3 linked regions of the Rhinolophus ferrumequinum genome follow. The protein of the gene in region 1 interacts with the protein of each later gene in a pairwise test. Links are inferred from orthologs where the notes say so. Each region holds a gene or a part of one and is shown on either strand. Other genes may lie near its edges. The genes, in order: NT5C2, MOB3B and NUDT18.

Region 1 (6,946 bases):
AGAAATGCTGCATAGCAGATGTTTCTGCTTAATAGTTACATCAGTTTGTTATGAAATACCTTTTTTCCTTTGCATAAACATGCACCAGAGAATTGTCATGGGGGTTAAAACTATGACCCGCTGGGCCAGTTGACTGTGAGTTTGTTCAGTAAATGTTTTCATTTGTGGATCAGTTGATTAAAGATTCTAGCATGCAGTTGTGGATCATAAGCTCCCATGTAAGCAATTACTAATTCACAATTATTAAGTTCAAAGCAAAAAAAAATTATTGAACAAAGTTTCTAAAGTTGGAAGAAACCTTAGAGATCTTCTTTATTTAACCCCATCTCTTTACAGATCAAGAAACACCACCCAGAGAGAGGCAAATTGGCCTCCCCACAATCACAATTTCATAAAATCTGAACTCAGCGCTTCTGACTCTGACGCCAATTGTTAACTTCTTTTTCACTGCTTAGCACTAATTTCAGAGACGATATTATAATTTTGTATTTTGTCATCTTCATTAATGTTCCTATGTCCAATGTATCATAAATATATGTATCTGACTCTTAGATTTTTACATTTTTAAAGTAGATAAAATCAGTTGCGTGCATTTCCTTGATTATTAAATCAAGGAAGATAGATCAAGGTAGATCTTGATTATTAAAATTATGTAGAAAACTCAATATATATTAAATTGTTTGGCACCTTGAAGCATAGCACTACCATAAATATATCTTTCTTTTCTTTCCCTGGTAGATTTGCGCCACTAAGTGATCAAAACAGAAAACTGTGGAGGCTATAAAACAAAGTAAATGGGTATATTGCTTACAGTGGGATGGACTGGAGCTTCTACTTTGCCAAGAGATGTGTGTTGTAAGCCCACATGTTTAATCTAGGTCACATTCTTGACCTTCCAGAGTATATGAAATATAAATATGCATTGGATTAAGCTGATGAAAAAGGATGGTTTCCACTGCATGAAGCTGTTGTTCAGCCCATTCAACAAAGACTTGAAATTGTTTTGGATGCTAAGAACACATAAAACCCCTTTGACCAAACCAAATTAAGAATATAGGAGTTATGAACGTTTCCAATGAATATAACAAGCAAAAAGAAAAAGCAGAATTAAAGATTTGGAATTTGGAAAGGGCAGTACCCATGTTTTAAACCCTCAGAGTACAAAAGTTAGCACTCTTCGGGAGGTTAAGGGTTCACTATTTGCATCCTTCTAAGAATGTGATACAGGTTAGCAGAAAGTGATAAAAAGTGATAAAAGTTTATATATGCAGAAAGTGATAAAAGTTTATATATATAGTGAGTTAATTAATTTGAATGTAAAGATTTTTGCTTTTGAAAGTTGGTTTTTAATTTTTCATCTTGAACTATCTCTTGATATAAGCTTTCAAGAGATTATTATATAGCACAAGTAGTACTTACAATGTTTGTCCCTATTATTACTTTTTTTTCATAATGTTAACATTAATAAATATTGTAGTAAATTTTTAAAAAGCTAGTGAGTGACCTACCATCAGGCAAATGTCACCAGACTACTTTAAAAACCAACTATTAATACAATAGTTAACTTTTAAAACATTCAATATCAAGTAACTATTTTCTTCAAAATATTAACTCTTCTAAAATACCAAAATGTTACCTAATTCTGACCTAGCTTTCTATACAGAGAAGAATGGAATCAGAATTGTTTTTTTGTCAGAATTATTTTAACTTATCTGTATAAACAAGTTTAGACATTTTTCCAGAAATATTTAAAAAATTTTAAAAGTAACATTCCCGGGCCGGCCCGTGGCTCAGGCGGTTAGAGCTCCATGCTCCTAACTCCGAAGGTTACCGGTTCGATTCCCACATTGGGCCAGTGGGCTCTCAACCACAAGGTTGTCAGTTCAATTCCTCAAGTCCCGCAAGGGATGGTGGACAGCGCCCCCTGCAACTAAGATTGAACGTGGCACCTTGAGCTGAGCTGCTGCTGAGCTCCGGGCTGGCTCAGTTGGATGGAGCGCGTCCTCTCAACCACAAGGTTGCCGGTTTGACTCCTGCAGGGGATGGTGGGCTGCGCCCCCTGCAACTAGTAACGGCAACTGGACCTGGAGCTGAGCTGCGCCCTCCACAACTAAGACTGAAAGGACAACAACTTGACTTGGAAAAAAAGTCCTGTTCCCCTTCCCCAATAAAATCTTAAAAAAAAAAAAAAAAAAAAAAAAAAGTAACATTTCCTCTTTCCTCTAGTCCCACAACAAATGAATAATTATGAGTTGTAGACTTCCTGGAGTTCCCATGCAACGTTTTAGCACTACCAACACACCACCACTTCTATTTATTCCTGACTTTCCTTAGAATGGGAGGCAGAGATAGTTCTAGTAGGAGCCAGATCTTTCTATCCTATAAATTTACAGGAAGTATAAACTTCTAACTTCTTCTAAAAACAAATGATTCCTAAATGCAGTACCTACTTCTAAGTATCTTAGCTACTTAAGATTTAGGTAGAAGCAGCCATTTAATTGAATCTATTAAAAATGGCAAACTGAAAATACATTTTGAATGTTTAATAAAGAAAAATGATTTAGAGAAAATTTTGAAGTCTTGTATCAATATAAGAAAATGTTGCTAATACCCAGAGTAACCCACATTCAATCTAACACACAGTAGCAAGTACATACAATTTTAAAAATCTATTTAAAGATTATAATCAATTTGTGGTAAATGTCAATTGAGAATTTCATTCTTATTAAGGTGCAATTTTGCAGCAGCTGAAAACTTTCTACTCTTAAGGGCTTTTATTAATAAGCAGCAGTGAGAAATTTTAAATAAAAGTCAGCAGCAGTATAATGTATGCGTGGTTAAAAGTCTGGACTTTGGACTGGGTTTGAACTATAAACTAACTATATGATCTAGGTAATTTGTCCTAACTTCTCTGTACATTAATTTCATCATCTATAAAATGAAGATGATACGTACTCACTTTACAGAGCTGTTTTGAAGATTAAATAGACAAAATACTCACCGATGATAGGCTTCTCGCCGATACTTTTTCAGAGCATGCTTGTCCATGTTAGCAGGCATATCTGCTGCATTTTGTAACCGATCACTCCAGGAGGTTGTCATTTTAATTGTACGTTGAATTCTAGAAAAGACAATCAGTACTGTAATTTAGCAGCTGAATATTGGTATCTGTATGCTGATATCTGATGTTTTTAAAAATTAGAAAAACTCTAGCTTGCCAATTGCCTGATATAATTATCTATTTAAATGTACTGAATACGATAAATTTATGGAAGATATACTGACACTTCTAAACTATGTGACTTTAGGAAAATAATTTCATATGACAACTTCTACCCAGAAAGATCATGTGTATCTCTTCCAAATAATTAAGCATAACTGCCAATAATAACTTTAATCCGGTTCTAGAAAAGAGACTGAGACCACAGATTTATGGAAATACATAATTTTCAGTTAACGTTTCAAAATGTGTAAAGTAAACAATTTTTAAATTCTGATCAACATATTAACCTTAATGAACAGTGGTACAAAAGTAAGTAATGTTTGCTTTCTATATATAATGCTTTTATACTTTTATATAAAATATTATCTTTCAGCCTTTCAGCTGGTATAAAAAACTATGGACTAGAATAAACTAAAACTCTTCATCTCGTTACAGTAAACATCGAAAAGGAGGCGAGCTGCTAAGTGTCTACCTGGAGTACCTGAACACTAGGCATTGTTCTAGGTTTCACTTCTATTTTTGAGGTTTCATCTGTAAATAGTTTTAAAGAAGGATTAAAAATATCCTTTTAGAGTTAAGAAATTTAACATTTTATTAAAATACCAATGTGAAAACATCTGCAACCTAACTTATTTCTAATTTTGAAAATGTTAACATCATTTATGACATTAAGTCAATTTTTAAATAAATCATCTTTGCAGCTTTTAAATAATTTACAGAGGCAAAATTAACATACACAAATTAATCATTTTAAAGTGCATAAGTCAGTGGCACTTAGTACATTCATAATGTTATGTAACCACCACCTCTATTAGTTTCAAAATATTTCCATCACTACAAAGTAAAACCCCTTACCCATTAAGTTCTCCCCATTATCCCCAATCCCCAGCCCCTGGCAACCACCAATCTAGGTTCTGCCTCTATGGATTTATCTATTCGGGAAATTTAATGTAAACAGAATCATACAATACGTAACCTTTTGCATTTGGCTTCTTTCACTTAGCATATTTTCAAGTTCCATCTATGTTGTACTACGCCTCACATACTTCATTCCTTTTAATGCCTGGATAATAACTATTCCTCTGTATGTATATACCACAATTTGTTATCCATTTATCTGCTGATGGACATTAAGATTATTTCCACTTTTCGCCTATTATAAATAGTGCTGCTATGAACCTATACATACAATGTACCAGTTTCCAATTCTTTTGGATATATATTAGGTTGGTGCCAAAGCAACTGCGGTTTTTGCAACTGTTTTTAACCTTTTAAATCACAATTACTTTTGCACCAACCTAATACTTAGGTCTGCAATAATTTTTAAGTAATCAAGATTTCCAAATACTTTATAGAATAAAAGCACTGGTACTTACAAAAGAGTCTAGTTAAAATCTTATTAAAGTATAAAATTAACTTGAGAGAAGTTATTTGCTGAACTATTACAATTTAGATATACTACGAGGGTTTTATTTTTTAAAAATTCATATAGCAAATCAAGATTATTTTGTGGACAAAAAAAGAAAATTTAAAAATAGAGAATTACAACGGAACTTCAATGATCTTCTTTTTCTTTTCTTTTTTTGGTGGAGGTGAGGACCAGCACTATATCTTACATAAATTTAAATAAGACTCAGAAATGAAATCTGTATTCTATGATGAATTAGGAGAGATCAGAATGCTATTAAAGGACTTCAACATCAGTTCTACTGCAATTATAGTACATACAATAAAGCGTAGGAAATAAAATTCATTTATTTATTGTTACACATTCTTAGGCACATTCAAATTTTCTAAAATCTCAAACAGTATTCACAAAAGTCTACCTCTTTTTACTTTTAAAAATTACGGACGTCTGCACAGGGTGAACTCTCTAATCTTATTCACATACTATTAGCACACATATGGATGAGGAAACCACCTGAGGCCTGAAAAAGAACCGGCCTAAAGGTATAAAGGAACAATCCCCGAAGCTCACACAGGCTGGGAATAGTTCCTGCCCAAAACAGCCAAAATGGAAAACCTCAACATTTACATAGTATTAGGTAAAACACTTGGGAGGGTTTTGTGACTGCAGTAGGGCAATATCATCTAAACTAAAAACTGCTCTAGTCCTGCCTACCGAAGCTTAAAAGCAAAACCTGAAAGGATCAAACTGCTTCCAAGTAATTTAACCATGTCAAAAAACAAAGCTCAAGAATATTCATAGGAATACAAAAATATCCAGCATCCAAGAAGGTAAAATTTATGTTTGGCATCCAATCAAAAATTAGCAGCATCCAAAGAAGCAGAAAATATGATCCAAAATGAGAAATAAATCCATAAATGTCACAGATGATAGAATTAACACTCAAGCATGTTATTATAATTGAATAAAATTCAATATATAATATGTAATTCAATTAATACATCATCTAATACACAATTTATAATTGAATATATTTCATGTGTCCCCAAAACTACAGAACTGAAAATGTTAAGTACAAGCATGAAAGATTAAAAAAAAAGACTCAAATCAAACATCTAAAAATGACAACCACAACATCTGACAAGAAAAATACGCTGGATGGGATCAACGGCAGATTAAAGATTAGTGAACCTGAAGACATAGCAATAGAAGCTAACCAAACTAAAATTTTAAAAAGACTAAAAAAACATTAACAGAGCACCAATGAGCTGTGCAATGGTTTCCAGCAGCTTAATATACATGTAATTGGAAGTCACAAAGGAAAAAAGAAAGAGAAGATGGAAAAAACTTGAAAGAAACAGTGGGTGAAATTTTCAAATTTAATGAAAATGATAAATCCACAAATCCAAGAAAACTAAGTGAACCCCAAGCACAAGAAACAAGGAAATTATACCAAGGCACATCAAAATCAAATTCCTTAAAAAGAATGATAAAGAGAAAATATTAACAAGCAGGTAGACACACAATGGAGTGTACAGATGTTATATTATAAAGCTGTATACCTGAAATTTATATAATGTTATTAACAAATGTTACCCCAATAAATTTATTAAAAAATCACAGGGTAAGGAAAATTCTTACTAAAAAAGTATTCAAATACTCAAGAAAAATTAAATAAAATATGAATTTCCAACTTAAAAAGGCTAGAAAAGATCTATAACGTAGAGAAGAAAAAAGCAGATTTCTCATCTGAAGCAGTGAAGCTAGAGGAAAGTGGAAAAACATCTTTAAAATACTAAAAGAAAAAAAGTGTCAACCTAGAATTCTTTACCTGGCAAAAATACCTTTCAGGAATAAAGATAAAATACTTTTTCAGACATACAAAAACTGAGACTTCATCACCAGTAGACTGAAAGAAATTTTAAAGGAAGTCATTCGAGCAAGAGGAAAATAATACCAGATGGAAATCAATCAATACAAAGAAATAGATAAACATAAAATATTTTTCCTACTATTAAATCTTTTAAAAAGATAACTTTGAAACAAAATAACCATGTATTGCGAGATTTATAACGTATGTAGAAATAAAATGTATGACAACACTAGCCCAAAAATGAGTAGGGACAAAATAGTAGTATTATAAGATTCTTACAGTTCACTAAAAACATCAACTAAACACAAAAGGTAGCAGTAATAGAGGAAATGAGAGATCAAAAAAATGGCATATAGAAAGCAAATAGCAAAATGGCAAAAATAACTCCTTTCTTATCAGTAATTACTTTAAATGTAAATGGTTTAAACTCTCCCATCAGAAG
Region 2 (7,248 bases), on another chromosome or scaffold:
TGTGTCCTTCGGGTCTGTCTTTTCTAAATACCGAGAGGGGGCCTGGGATGTAAACTTGGAGCCCTAGGCGAAGTCAGAACTCCTCGTTCATTCTGGAGGGAGCCACTTCACCATTATTTTAGCCAAAGGTTTGAGGCTTCCTAGGTTATTTCCGTCATCATTGTCTTTAAGGCGACTCGCCTGCCATTCAGCCCTTGGAAACTCGCAGACCTCAGAACCTCGGCTTTCTGCCTGCCAGAAGTGCCCTGATCCCATCCCGCTGTCTGGCAGCGGCCCAGCCACAGCGGAGACTGAAGTCCCCTGGAACCCACCGACAGACACCCTGGAATAGGGTGGAACCATGCTTCCACTCTCTCGAAATTAGCGCCCCTTTCGGATCTGCGCCTTTTGCGGTGCGTGTGGCATATGATCTGAGAAATGCGCCCTGGGCCACAGGCAGCCGAGGAGGCGGGGAAGAAACAACATTCCCTCCGCCCTCTAACCGCAAGGCCCGGGTGCGGCGGCCTCGCTGGGGTCGAGATCCCGGGCCGGAGCTGGTCCGGTGGCTGGCGTGGGGGGCTGGGGAGGAAGACGCTAGGGGCTTCCTTCTCTCTCTGAGCCCCGCCAGATGTTGGAAAGGCACACAATAGGGGAAACGCGAAGAAACAAAAAGCTATTCGCCTGGATCTTAACAGGCTCTGTCGCGTGGTCTCTACGGGGAGGGCATCAGGGAGGGGGTCAGGAAGGTGGGTGAAGAAGGACCCTGGGGAGTTTGGGGTATCTGATACTTAATTGCCAGGCGCCAGGCGCCAGGGGTCAGCCCTTTACCCTTACGAGAGGGGTCCAAAGGCAGGGAGGAGCAATCAAAGGAAAGTTAAAGGGTTTGCACCATCTTCCTCAGTAGAGGGAAGGGAGGGGCTGGGATGTTTGACAGTTGTTGGCCCGGGGTTCAGCAGGATTTGTGCGTCCTTTACACACCCTATCCCTCCACGAAGCATCGACAGTTCAGGGGGCGACTTGGCCGACGTAGCGGAGGGGACTTCACAATCCCAAACCGAACTTTCTCCTTCAAGATCAATACGCCCTAAACGTTATCCCCCTGCCCAGGCGCACTTTTGTAAAAGTTTGTTTTCCCGCCACCCACAGCCCAACACGCACCCTGCAGTCATCTGCGATTCGGGCTGGGTTCGGGGACAGACTTGTGCCCCGAAGGAAGACGGATTTTGTTGATATGTGTTTTAAAATCAGGGCCCGGCAGCCGGGAGGCGGCCGGTGGGGGGGGGGGGCGGGGGAGACCCGACTCTGGTTCCTGCCCGGGAAGGCTGCGCGGTGAGCCGGCCAGAAGCCAAGCCGCGGGCAAGGGTCTGAAGCCGATTCCAGCCCCGGAAGCACGTGGAGGGCGGGCGGGGAAGCGGGATCCGCCACCCCAGTCCCTCTGTGCATCTGCCCCCAGGTGCGTCCAACACCTCTGCCCGCCTGGGCACGACCCGGAGCGAGCAGCTGCCAGGCTGCGCCACCTCCCTCGCTTGGAGCGGGATCTCACTCACCGTGGGGTTTTACCTTCAGCCTGGGGCCCTGTCGGCTTCCTGCGCCGGGTCAGCTGCAGCGAGCGCGAGAGGAAGAGGGTGAGCTCGGGTAGGAGGGGCGACTCTTATGGATCCACGCGAGGGGCTCCGGGCCCAAGGAGCGCGCGGGCGAGCGAGCGCGGGGCTCCAGCTGCAGCCGCGGTGGCTCCAAAGTAGCCCCCACAAGCACTCAACGCGCGGCAGCCGCGCGGGGGTGCAGAGCCGGGACCTCCTGGCGGCCGCTTACGGAATGGCAGTTCCGTGGAGAAGAGAAGTCAGGTCGCCTTTGGGTCATCTTTCCTTGGGAAAAAGGTGTGGAATGGACAGTCTACTGGGGCTCTCAACCATAAGGAAAAGACCTTGACCCTCTGGCCAGGGCGGCAAGGAAGATATCGGATCAGAAAGGGTGCGTTCTGGGTCCACAAGCAGCTAAGGGACCTAGAGAGGGGGAAATCCCGTATCTTCTCCAAGATTTTCTGACGTTGAAAAATGCCATGGACCGCCTGATGGAGGAGGAGCATTAATCAATAGAAAATAACTTTGAGATTCTGCCAGGTTTATCATAATGAGCTAGGAGTAATGAAATGAGCACGGACTTTGAGGCCCAATCTACAGCCTGCCACTTTCTACTTGTGTGTTCTTGGTCTATACGCCTCAGTATTTGCCTCTTAAATTTGACAGAACAATATCTACCTTGCAGGGTGGTTGTAAGGGGTAAACTAAACATAGAAAGTGTCCGTAGTTCACAGTAGAAGTTATTAAATATTAAGCTTCCTGAAGAAAAGAACGAGTCTTCCATATCTTTTTATTCCCCCATCTGATTGCATCTTAATGTATATTGATTGAGGAGTACCACATAACTAAGCGTTTCGTTTTATAATTCTTCTTACACATTTTAAAGAGGTATGGAAGTATATTAAGTAGAAATTAGGATATATGGAGAAAACACGCTCCCCCAAAAGTGGTTTCCACAGCTAGTAGAAGAGAACCTCTAAAACCATATATATCTTTCGCAATATCAAGGTATTTCTGATATTGCAAGAACTATTCAATAAATAGTCATGGTCTAATGCTATCAACCCTGGAGTAAATGATTCGATTTAATTCTGTATCACTTAGGCAACACAAACGTATTGGAGATTGTGAATATGAAATTCAAACATGAGGGGAAAAAAACAAATACAAAAATGCAGCCACGAAGCAATGTCTCTCTGCTCATCACTGAGTAATGCAATCGCATTTCCAAACTGCCTCAAGCCCCAGTCGCTGCTTTTAAAGCTTCTTGTGATCTTTTGGCCTCGTGGCAGCCAGACAGCTCTTCATCATCCAGAACAATTAGGATGGCAGGGTCTCTCTTTATTTTTAACAAGGCATTTACTGCACGTATTATTTCTTTTGGCTAGAGCTATAATAACTAGAATAAAATTTATCTATGAAGCTTTTATCTACTACAAATGCATTTGCCAGGTCTTCAATATTCTTCAAGCCTTCATATTCATATTCTATTGCTGTTGTGTTTTCCTAATTCTGAGATACAAGTTTTCTCCGTCCCAGGTAGCTTCATCTGTAACAATACTTATCTTACAAGACCATTTTAGATGAAAGGAGATAATACATGGGAAGTTGATGCAAATACATACAAGAATTTAGCAATGGGGAAAAAGAAATGATTTAACAAATGGTGTTGAAACAATTGTATAGTATTCTGGAAAAAATTAAATATAACCTTAAACTTACATAAATTTCAGATGGTTTAAATATTTAATTATATATGTATATATATATGTGTGTGTGTGTGTGTGTGTATATACATATATATGTAAAATAAAACCATAAAATACTAAAACAAAACATAGGTGCCACCTTGCAAAGGAAGTGTCTCTAAATCGCTCTAGCTTAATAGTACGTCTCTCTCCGTTACTGGTCCCTAACTGTGAGGAGGCTGTTTGTTGCCTGCCCAAGAATTCTCATTACATGATCTTTTTGGTCCTGTCAAGAAGAGAGGGAAACAAATAAGGTTTCTTGTCTCAGCAACTAAGGCAGAGCATTGAGATGTAACTTCTGTCTTGGAGATAGGGCACATCCCGCAAGGTGCAGACGAGCAGGGCTTGCACAGAGTGAAAAGGGCAGTTGATTCTAATCAAAAAATGTTAGTGGAACTGTCACAGCCTCTCTACTCGGTTTCAGCCTTGCCTGTAGGGAAAGAGGACTTTCAACACACTGCCATGCCTGTAGGGGCTCCTTCCCTGGGGAGGAATGGTAAATCTGGTGATTGGGAGGGATTTCAGTGTGTCCGGTATAACTTTCACCAGTCAATCAGTGGGGTACCAGATTAAAGCTACCCCAGCTCTCACCCAGCTTTTCTCCCTGTGACTGGTGGCTGAGGAGGATGGCTCAACTTTCAGAATCTGCTAGGAAGAGCCAGCATTCAAGAATCAAGCTCTCCGTGGTTCTCCTGTGTCATAGCCTGCGCAGACTACTATAACAAAACACCACAGATTGAGTGGCTTATAAACAGAAATTTATTTCTCACAGTTCTGGAGGCTGAGAAGTCCAAGATCAAGGCACCAGCAGATTCAGTGTTTGGCGAGGGCTCATTTCCTCATAGACCTCTTTTTGCTGTGTTCTCACATAGCAGAAGGGGGCAAGGAAGCTTTCTCAGCTCATTTATACAAGCCCTAATCCCATTTATAAGGGCTCTACCCTCATGACCTCTGAATACCACCACCCTGGGAGTTAGGATTCAACAAACAAATGTTGGGAGGACACAAACATTCTACCTGTAGCATCCTGGGCTACATCTCATGCTGAAATGCAGCTTTTATCAGAGCCCTGCAAGGGTATTGTATGGCAAACTGACTTCATCATGGATTGAATAGATACTGTTCCCCACTGGCTATTACTCCTTATGTGGATGCTTCTTTGCTTCTGTGGGAAAACAATCTGAAGGGACAGAATGGGAGGAGGGGAGGATTCAGGTACCCAAGTTCACCCAAACTGACCTGATCTCCCACCTCAGACATGTGCCAGCTGCTGTCTTCCCCCTCTCCAACCTTTTAGTTATTTAAGGCCCCAAATCATGGAATCATGTTTTACTTTTCTCCTTTTCTACTCCACCTCTTATCTATCAGCAAATCTTGTTTTTGCCTTCAAAAGATATCCAAGAGCAGACCTCTTTCCACCACCTCCACAGTTGCATCCTGGTCCAAGCCACAAATTCCTGCAGCCCGGGTTACTGCAATAGCCTCCTAACTGGTCCCTCTGTTTCCCCGCCCCCGCTCTCTGTATGTTCTAGTCTCAAGACGGTAGCCAGGGCAATTCCGTTGAAACGTATGCCACATTATATCACTCGGCTACTCAAAATCCTCCTTGGGCTTCCTGTTTTACTCAGAGTAAAACCAACACAAACAGCACCTCTTTTATCTCCGACCTTGTCTCCTACTACTTTCGTCATCACGAATTCCACGGCATCCACACTGCCCTCTGTGGTTTCCAGAAATGCCAGTTAAGCTCCTACCGCTGGGCTTTCATACTCTTTGTGTCCTCTGCCAGGAAGACTCTTTCCTCAGATACTTCATAACTTTCTAGCTCACCTCCTTCAGTTCTTTGCTCAAAAGTCACCAGAGGCCTCCCTTTTCAACTCTATTTAAAATAGAGTTGCACCCTGTGCAATCACCACCCCCTTCCAACACTCCCTATCCACATTCCCTGCTCCAATTTTCTCCATAGAATGTACTGCCATCTGATATCCGATATATATACCGCCTTTCCATGGCTGCTGTAACACATTACCACAAACTTAGTGGCTTAAAACAATTCAAATTTATTATTTTATAGTTCTGAAGGTTAAAAGTCTCAGGTCTTGGGTGGCCGGATGGCTCAGTTGGTTAGAGCGGGCTCACAACAAGGTTCCGGTTTGATTCCCACCTGGGATGGTGGGCTGCGCCCCCTGTAACTAAGATTGAAAACAGCAACTGGACTTGAAGCTGAGCTGCGCCCTCCACAACTAGATTGAAGGACAATGACTTGGAGCTGATGGGCTCTGGAGAAAAACACTGTTCCCCAATATTCCCCAATAAAATAAAATAAAATAAAATAAAGGTCTCATTGGGCTAAAATCAAGGTGTCCCCAGGATTGAATTCCTTTTGAAGTCTATAGAAGAGAATCAGTTTCCTTGTTTTTATCAGCGTCTAGAGGCCACCTGCATTCCTTAGTTTGTGGTCCCCTTTCTCCATCTTCAAAACCAGCAACACCCAGGTTGAGTCTTTCTCATATTGCATCACTCTGGCCTTTCTGCTTCCCTTTGTACTAATAAGGGCCCTTGTGATTATATTGAGGCCATCAGAATAATCCCGGATTATCTCCCTATGTTAAGGTTAGCTGATTAGCACCCTTAAATTCCACCGACAACCTAATCCCCCTTTGCCACATAACATTCACAGGTCATGGGGATAAGACACGGACATCTTTGGGGGGGGCATTATTCTGTCTACCACACACTCCCTTACTCTTTCCGCTAGAATATAAATTCCATGAGACAGGGATTTTTGTCTGTTTGGCTTATTTCTTTATCCCTAGACTATCTCAATAAATGTACAGGCACGTGCTATGGCCCGGAGTGTGTCCCCCTCCTCCAAATCCATGTGCTGAAGCCCTAACGCTCAATGTGATGGCATTTGGGGAGGAGATTTGCGTTACATGGGCTGATTGGGGGGCGGGCCTCAATGATAAGATTAGGGGGTTTACAAAAGGAAAAAAGAAAACAGAGAGCTCTGTCTTTGCTTCCATGTGGGGACATAGCGAGAAGGTGGCCGTCTACAAGCCAAGAAGAGAATCCTTAAAAGGAACCAAACCGACAGCCACGGTGACCTGAGACTTCCCAGCCTCCAGAACTGTGAGAAGTAAATGTTACTGAGTAAGCCACCCAGTCTATGTTTTGTTTTTTTTTAATAACAGCCTGTGCAGACTAATATAGCACTCAATAAATATTTATTGATTAATTAATTAATGAAGAGACTTCACCATAGATACTGTAAATACTGAACATCTATTGTGTACCTATAATGTGCTTCCTAAGCACTTTACAGGGAACATCTCATTGCATTCTCACAAGATCTTTCTGTGGCTGGTACAGGTGAGAAAATCATAGACTAGAAAGTTGAAGTAACTTGCTCACAGTCATGCACCTGATACATTGTGCAAGCAGGTTTGAGACTTGGCAGAGTGATGGAAGCTGGTGGTCTATCCCTCACCGTCCCCTGCCACTAGCATGTGGCAGTGGGCAACCCTGGATTTTGTCCTCAAGATGCTTATAATCTAACAAGAATGACAAATACACAAATAACAATAATATAAAAAAGACTATGGGAGGCAGTGTAGAAAAGGCCAACACATTGCTGTGGAGCATAGATATGGGCAAGGTTAAGTTTGGATGAAATCGATTACGGGGAGCTTCAGGGAGACTGTGGCATTTGAGCTGGAGTGAAAGATGGTGGACATCGGTGGAGTTCGAAAGATTGTTTCAGATAGAACCACAGGAGTAAAGATACAGGAAGGTAGAAAAGAGCGAGATGTGTCCTGGGAATCAAGATTAATATAGCTGGTATGAGGACTAGGCGTGCAGTTAGATAGCTGGGATCCCAAATGCTAGGCTAGAGATCAAAGGAAATTTAATAATTTTTGTTAACAGTTATTAATGGAGGA
Region 3 (7,309 bases), on another chromosome or scaffold:
GAGCTGTCGAAAGGCAGAGGCAGGAGCCTGGCAGAGTGGCACAGAAGGGGTCAGAGAGCTCCAAGAGAAGGAAACCCAGGCGACGGAAGCTCTCACAGCTCCTTGCCCACCTGGAGCTTCCCTGGTGTTCTCACTGCTCAAACCTTGATGGGGATACGGTCACTTCCTACCGTGGCAGGCAAGAGGAAGAGGGCCCCAGTGGGCCCAACACAAGCCGTGGAGGACACAGACAGCAGGAAACCTGCCTGCTTCAGTCACCCCTTACCCGGCAGACTGGCCCCTACAGCGTCAGCTTGCTGTCTAAGATGGCGTGGGTGGCTGTCAGTGGTACAAGGGGAGGAACTTCTCCTCTGAGGGCAGTCCCCCCTTCCTGCTCACTTCCTCCCCACAGAGACATTTAGGTGGGAAGGTAAAGTAAGCAACACCTATTTATTCAGCAAGGGGACCATTTCCTTGGAGTGACCTCCCACAGCACCCCATGTTCTAAGTGCCTGAGAATCTGAATTTAGGCCTTTACCAAAGGAGGAGTAGGCGTGGAAAATGATAAGATGCCATCTCAGGTTCAGAAAGTTCTTGCATCCCCTTAGGGAGCGGTGCCCTCATACCTCTGGGCAACTGGGTTCTTGAGCTCTGGACTCCTTGCTTGGTAAAAGGCACTGTCCCTTTTGGTACAATGGAGGGACCTGCTCCACAGCGAGGGGCGATGGAAGTCCCCCTGAGCAGGAGAACTGCCCTGCTCCCAATGTGAAAAGATCCCTGATTGCTAACCTGCCTTCCTCAGAAGGAGGCAAAACCGCGGTGGAGGGAGCACAGGCACCCACCTCCTTGCTCACTGATGGCACCTTCCTATCTATTGAGGGGGACGACAGATGATTCCTGAAGCCTCTGTAAGAGCTGGCTTTGTAGGTCTTCCTCCATCACTTTCCACCAAAAGAAGTTCTCACCCTGAACCTTCGGGGGCTCATTTTGGATACCTGGGTTCCGAAAAGCCACTGTCACCAGAACATTGAGGCAGATGCCATCTGTATGGTCTTTGCCCAGGTGCTGCAGTCCAAGCAACCCCTTGGTCTCCACTGTCAAGTGGTGCAGGGTCAGACACTCCTGCAAGAGCCGCAGGATGGCCATCTTGAGTCCACCCCTCTGCTCCACAGGGGTAAAGCCACAGGCCGAGATGGGCAAGTGAGGTACCCCCCCTTTGCCCACCAACACCCACACTGTCTGGACACTGGTAAAGGTGGCCACAAGCCGCTGGCAGACCACAGTGCAGGGAAGCTCTTGGGGCAGAACAAGAGGGTGCCTGGCCTGCCGGCAGTACTGGGCGGCCAGCTCCACCAGGGGCAGAATGTCAAGGGCTCGCAGCGGAGTGGGCAGGGAGGTTCGTGGGTACCAGCCAGCCTGCAGGGACTCCGCATCTGCCTCCTTGGAAGTCTTGAGAACTCCACCTGGGGGAGCGGTGGGGGACAGGGTGGGGGAAAGGGTCCGTGTTGAGAGAAGTGCCGGGCCTGGCAGAGTTGATAGCCACCCAGGCATTCTAGCTCTGACCCTCAGACTGAAATATGGAGATGCCAGGCTTGTACCAGCCACAAAAGGGGCTCATCTCACGGGAGGTCAAGCTGGGGGAAAGGTGTCGATTGCCCCATGCCCACAGTGCCACCAGGTGGGCTGTACCTGTTGGGCGAGCGAGGAACACGAAGCGGATCCAGGAGGGGCCCCTCTCCTCCACAGACAGCAATGTCAGAGGCTCACAGTGCAGCCCGGCCTCCTCCTTCATCTCCCGCTGTAAAGCCTCCACGATGGTCTCCCTGGGCTCCATCCTCCCCGCGGGTAGGTACCATGACCCGTGGCATTCTTTCTTGGCCTCCTGGATCAGTAGCACCTCATCCTGAGGGGAGAGAGAGGATCCTCACCCCCACACAGCCAGGCTGGAAGCCTGTGTTCCAAAGGAGGAACACAGCCGGAAGCCTTCCTGTGCCTTGGGGACAGAAATCTCAAACACAGTCGCCCGGTACCCCCTTACTGGTGGACACCTTCAACCTCTTGAGCTCTCCTGGGGACTGGCTCTTCTGTGGCTGCCAGTTGCAGATGCCCCTCTCTGCAATTCATCCTTTTGCATTTGGACTTCCATTTCAGAAAGCGGCTAAGATTCCCGGGAGTTGCTTCAAGGACAGGGAATCAGGCCCCACAAGGGGAGGTGCCATGTGTCCTGCACTGTCTGCATATGTCACTGTCTCTCTCACCTCCCCTCATGGTTTAAAAACTGCTTGTGGCCCGTCCTCACACTGAAGTCTGCGGTTGAAACATGCCCCCACCCCACACACTATACAACTCCTACCTATGGTCCCGGTCCCTTCTAACTGTTGTTACAGCAATTTGTACAAGGATCAGCACCAAAAAGAGCATCACACAGGGGTGAGTGGGTCTGAGCGTAAGCGCAAGTTGTGCCATTACTGTCCGTGGAATTCAGGGGAGGTCTCTGCAGCACTGGACAGATCTTTATGAGAGTCCACTCCGCGGCGGCGGACGCTATACTAAATTCTGGGGAAAGGAAGAGGAATAAAACAATCCCCCCTCAAGGAACTGAGGCCTAGTGGGATGAGACAAAGGCTCCTGGCCTCGGTTTCCTCCTCTGTTCGTCGGACAATCGTAGGGCTGGGCCGCACAAGGCTCAGGTGTCAGTGTGAAGTGAAAGTGCTTTGCAAAACTGGAACGCGCCACCCACCAAGAAGCGGTGGCTGCTGCCGGTAGGTCGTCTGTCCCCACGGGGCTGGCTGCGCGCTCCGGGACCCGGGCGGAGAGCCGGCGGGCGGACGCTCACCTGCTCGTTGAGGCACACGGCCAGCACCACGTAGCAGACGTTCCTCCGCAGCCGCACGGGCGCCGGCGGCTCCTCGGCCGGCTCCGAGTCACAACTCTGCACACACAGTCCCCGGCCCCCCAGCACCGCTGCCAGCTCCACCGCCAGGTCTTCCGAGGCCATCCAGTCCCTTGGGAGGCGGCGGCCGTGCCCCGCAGACCCGCCGAGTCGGGTGGGGTGCAAGGCGGTGCAGCCGGTGGTGCGTCACCCTGGCCCTCGTCCCCTCCCCCGCCGACTCGCGCCGGGCGTGCTCGCGAACGAGGAAGCGCCGGCCAAGTCCCAGCCACTGATAGGCTGCGCGTCCCCGCGGCCTGCCCGGATTGGCTGGCTCGCGCTGGTCACCGCGTCGTGCGGCCCCGCCCGCTTCGGCTTCTCTAAGGGTTCCTTCCTCTTCGCCCTCTCCCGGCACCTCTAGCCGCCAGCCTTGCTGATTTCTCCATCGCGCGCAAGTCCGCACCGGTTTCGAACGGGTACGTCATCCTGCCTGCAGGCTGCGGAGAGCCACAGTGGCCAGCGACGGTAGCATCACAACAACACCGATAACGTCACGGAGGCCCGGGGCGAGGCCGGGACCCACTGTCCAGCTTTGGTCATAAACATACCACTGCTTTGCCCGAAACGATCACTTCCCCCCAATAACCCCCGTTTTCACTAAAAATGTACTGAATGTCACCGTAGTGGGGGGAAGGGAGGAAGAGAGCTCTTGCCTTGAAGGAGATTCTGATCTAGTTGGGAACGTAGACATAGACATGTTTAAAAAAACAGTCAACTCAGTGTTATAAGACAAGTGCTAAATGATTGGTTTGGGCCGGAGGTGTGACGGTGCTCAGAGCAGGGAGAGAGCAGAACTGGGATGGCCAAGGTGCGCCTGATGACGGGAGGAGGGGAGCTGGGGCAGAGAGAGGGCCGGGGATAGGCAGGCAGAGCCCTCACCAGTGTCCCGACCCACTGCCCACGCCATTTCCCACATAGTTGCAGGGCCCTCTCCGTGCAGACTGAGCCGTGCTCCTTCACCTTTGTTGCCCCCCCACCCAGCTGGCTCAGGCAGCCCCATTGAGAGTAGGGTGTGGGTGTTGGCTAGCTCCTGCTTCTCTCCCAGCTTGACCTTTCCTCCTCAGAGGTTCCTTTAACCTCCTCTCAGGACAGGACGGCAGGGCCAGCTGGAGTGAAACTGTGAAGCCAGCCAAGTCGGGGCTCCTCATCCTCAGTTAGGTCTTCCCTTTTCCTCCTGCTGGCTTAGTGCACCTGAGGGGACAGTGGCTTGTTGGATCAGACGAAGCATTGGACTTGGAGCCAGATACCAGGCCTCTGCTTACTGGCTGGCTCTGTGTCCCTGGAAAAGGTGTGGGCCTCAGTTTCCTCATCTGTAGAATAGGCTCACAACAACTGTTCCTTCACACTGTTGGGAAGGTGAGACGCCATGGGAGGAGCTCCGTGGGCAATCCAGCATAGGTCACCATCACCAGGCAGCCCACCAACCCCCTTGCTGGGCTCTCCTACTACCACACAAAGGCCCACATTCATGAAATGTGCCCCCAGGCCACCTCGGAACTAGCTTTTACTAAGGAATTCCAGCTGCACCAGATGGCCTCTGTAGGCCCTTCTCACAAACTGAAGTGCCTGTGAATTCCCTGGAGGTAGGGCCCTATATTAGTCTGTGGGGGATCCCCAGTGGGCCTGCAATCTTTTGAGGCACTTGGTGAATACTGCTGCCCTCCAGCCCTAAACATCTCACCTCCCAAACAACTGAATGACGGGACCGAGAGTCGGGACTCCAGGACTGCAGAGCAACTTGTCAACGTAGTTGGTGTGTGTGTGTGTGTGTGTGTGTGTGTGTGTTTATCCTCCGGTTTTCCCATCTGTGAAGTGGGAACAGTATGGGTCTCAGACTCCTTTTTGCCTCCCGGGGATGATTTGAGAGAGAATGAGGTCATGTCTGGGCAGGGCTCTGAAAGCCTCAGAGGCAGCCTAAGATAAACACCAGACGGCCTGACTGCCTGGAACAGCAAAGACTGCAACAAACCCTGGCTCCACTCCCCCCATTATCACTGGGAAAAGCACTCCTGTGAAGTGGACCTAATCACCTTGTGGTGAGAAGCACATGAGGCAACGTGAAAGTCGCTTGTAAACTGTGAAGGGCGGCATAGGCAAGGCCCTCGAGGGGGTGTACCAGCCCTTCCGGAGAGCGGAGGGAGACAACAGGAAATACACTTTTTCAAGGCTTTGGGAGAAGGAGAGCACACATTAGACTGAGGCAGGAGAGGCCCTGAGACAGAATGGGAAAAGCGGAGGCAGGGAGGGGGTGCTGAGATAGAAACCGACAGAACCAGAAACAAAGAAAGGTCTCCATCCAGTTTGCTCTGCGCCCTCTATTCCCAGAGAGGGAAGAGCACTGACTGGTGGGGGTGGTGGGCAAGAGTGTCACACAGTACAGGACCCACAGGAGCGAAGGCTGAGCCAGCCAACTCAGGGCATGTAGACCTGAGTGTGCTTGTAAGCACGTGCACAGGAAGGTGATGGAGGCAACCTCGGAAACAGGGACAGGGATGGGCGGGAAGGGTGGGGCAAGGGTGTCTGTGACGCTAGATTCATTCACAGAGCAGCCAGCCCTGTCCCTTGTCAAAGTGGGAAGGGCAAGGAGGACAGTAGCCCCAGGTATAGGGAGGAGGAAGCTTCAGCCTGCATTCTGCCACTGGCTTGCTGAATGACCTTGGGGGAGCCACATCTATCGTCTAGGCCATCTGTATGATGCAGGCTCAGGTGCATCCTGAAACAGAACAGACATTAGTGGAAAACTGGTGGAATTCTGTGGGGACTGAGTCCCAGAGAGCAGTTTCCTGCTCTTGACCTCATGTGGAAAGGTGCTGGCTCAGATAGTAGACGGCCATCAGCTGTGATCAGATGGCCATCAGCTGTTACCGGTTAGCCATTGGCCACTGATATAACTGCCGTGGCTAAGCTGGTTGATTGGTTGGTTGACAGAGAAGCAGACGGCAGGTTGCGGATCGTGTGGCTCCTGCTTCCTGTGCCTCCAACCCAGCTGCCAGCGAGAATATAGTGGTATGACGCCCCTATCTATGGCTCCGTTGTTCCTTTTTGGCCTCACCATATCCCGCGTTCTTGTGCGGGGAGCAGGAGCTGAGACCCTGCGTGACAAATCCCAATAAAGTCTATTGCTTAGTTAATAGTGTTGTATCGAAATTAATTTCTTAGTTTTGATTATGTACCGTGTCAACATGAGAGGAAGCTGGATGAAGAGTAACTGGAAACTGTCCTATCTTTGTGACTCAACTGTAAATCTACAGTCGTTTCAAAATTAAAAATCTAAAATAGTGTACTTTATAAGAAAAACTTGGCATTTGGTCTACACACCTGAGGTCATTTCCAGCTTTGAGGGCTGTGCCTCTGTGCCGACTGGGCCAGTGAGAGGGGCTGGAGGAGGTTGCTGGGAGCAGCAGAGGCCAAAAGGGCAGGGCTAGACTGAGAGGGGAGCCCGCTGAGCCACCTTGGGGAAGAGGGCCACTGAATGCTTCACGCTGAGTCTCTGGACCGGTCCCCACCTGGACTGGCTTCATCCCTGGTCCAGTCCTGGGACATTTGGCCCACCTGTGTTTGCAAGGAGTCAGACCCACTATGTCCTTGGAGAGTGCCGTGACCTACCACGGAAGGGGAGGTGACAGAGAGGTCTGTGGGGGAAGAAACAGGCCTAGTGACAGGGCCATCCCCATCTTCCCACAGGAAAGACTCCGTGTTTGGGGTCCTGGGGTGACATCAGGACACAGCTATGTAAGGTGAAGTGTAGGTAGACATGGGTCACTCATTGCTACTTGGAACATGATGAGCTCTAACGTGCTTATGTTGGAAGGAGGACAGAGACGACAGTAAGCCCATCTGCAAAGGCCATTGAGTGCTAAGACTATAATGTAAATGAGGCAGCCGGAGTCAGGACACTTCGTTCAAATCCCAATTCTGCCACTAAATTGCAGTGTGACCTTGGGTAACTCCCTTATCCCTAGCCTGTTTCCTCTTCTATATAATGGAAATAAATAATATCTACATAAAAATTGTGGTAAGGGATGAAATGAGATCAGTTAAATGAAAACTGACACCATAAAGTGTGGCAGTTCCTTAATTTTTTTTCTATCCCATGAAAAAATGAAAACCCAGCTTTGCAAACAATGAAGAAACAACTTTTTTTTTTTTTTAAATGAGGGACGATTATGTAAATCATGGCACAGCCACTTTGGGGAATGTAAGCAGCTGTTTAAAATGAAGGTTAGGTATCGACATAGAAAATGATCACAATAGTGTTAAAAGAAAGAAACCAAGTACAAAGCACACCAATTCAACTATGTGTAAAACAGACCCGTGGAGAAAATACTAGAAGGAAATACACCAAAATACTATCCGTGGTTGGGTTGGGGGGTGAGTGGTGGAGGGCTTAGAGGGGACTTT

What was found.
Region 2: the proteins of NT5C2 (region 1) and MOB3B interact in binary tests that used the Homo sapiens proteins (3 or more experiments, as listed by UniProt). The two-hybrid records come from large-scale screens. The link is inferred for Rhinolophus ferrumequinum from reciprocal best matches to the Homo sapiens genes NT5C2 and MOB3B.
Region 3: the proteins of NT5C2 (region 1) and NUDT18 interact in binary tests that used the Homo sapiens proteins (3 or more experiments, as listed by UniProt). The two-hybrid records come from large-scale screens. The link is inferred for Rhinolophus ferrumequinum from reciprocal best matches to the Homo sapiens genes NT5C2 and NUDT18.

What each region holds. Positions count from the first base shown.
Region 1 is NC_046299.1:22,023,261-22,030,206, reverse strand, and holds the start of NT5C2 (cytosolic purine 5'-nucleotidase), read right to left. Parts: upstream 3,103-6,946; coding exon 3,002-3,102; intron 1-3,001. UniProt on the Homo sapiens protein: Broad specificity cytosolic 5'-nucleotidase that catalyzes the dephosphorylation of 6-hydroxypurine nucleoside 5'-monophosphates.
Region 2 is NC_046295.1:13,774,409-13,781,656, reverse strand, and holds the start of MOB3B (MOB kinase activator 3B), read right to left. Parts: upstream 3,080-7,248; 5' UTR 1,540-3,079; exon of another isoform or gene 1,527-1,539; intron 1-1,526. UniProt on the Homo sapiens protein: Modulates LATS1 expression in the Hippo signaling pathway which plays a pivotal role in organ size control and tumor suppression by restricting proliferation and promoting apoptosis.
Region 3 is NC_046301.1:44,313,702-44,321,010, reverse strand, and holds the start of NUDT18 (8-oxo-dGDP phosphatase NUDT18), read right to left. Parts: upstream 3,093-7,309; 5' UTR 2,978-3,092; coding exon 2,720-2,977; intron 1,883-2,719; coding exon 1,669-1,882; intron 1,443-1,668; coding exon 847-1,442; 3' UTR 1-846. UniProt on the Homo sapiens protein: Mediates the hydrolysis of oxidized nucleoside diphosphate derivatives. Hydrolyzes 8-oxo-7,8-dihydroguanine (8-oxo-Gua)-containing deoxyribo- and ribonucleoside diphosphates to the monophosphates. Hydrolyzes 8-oxo-dGDP and 8-oxo-GDP with the same efficiencies.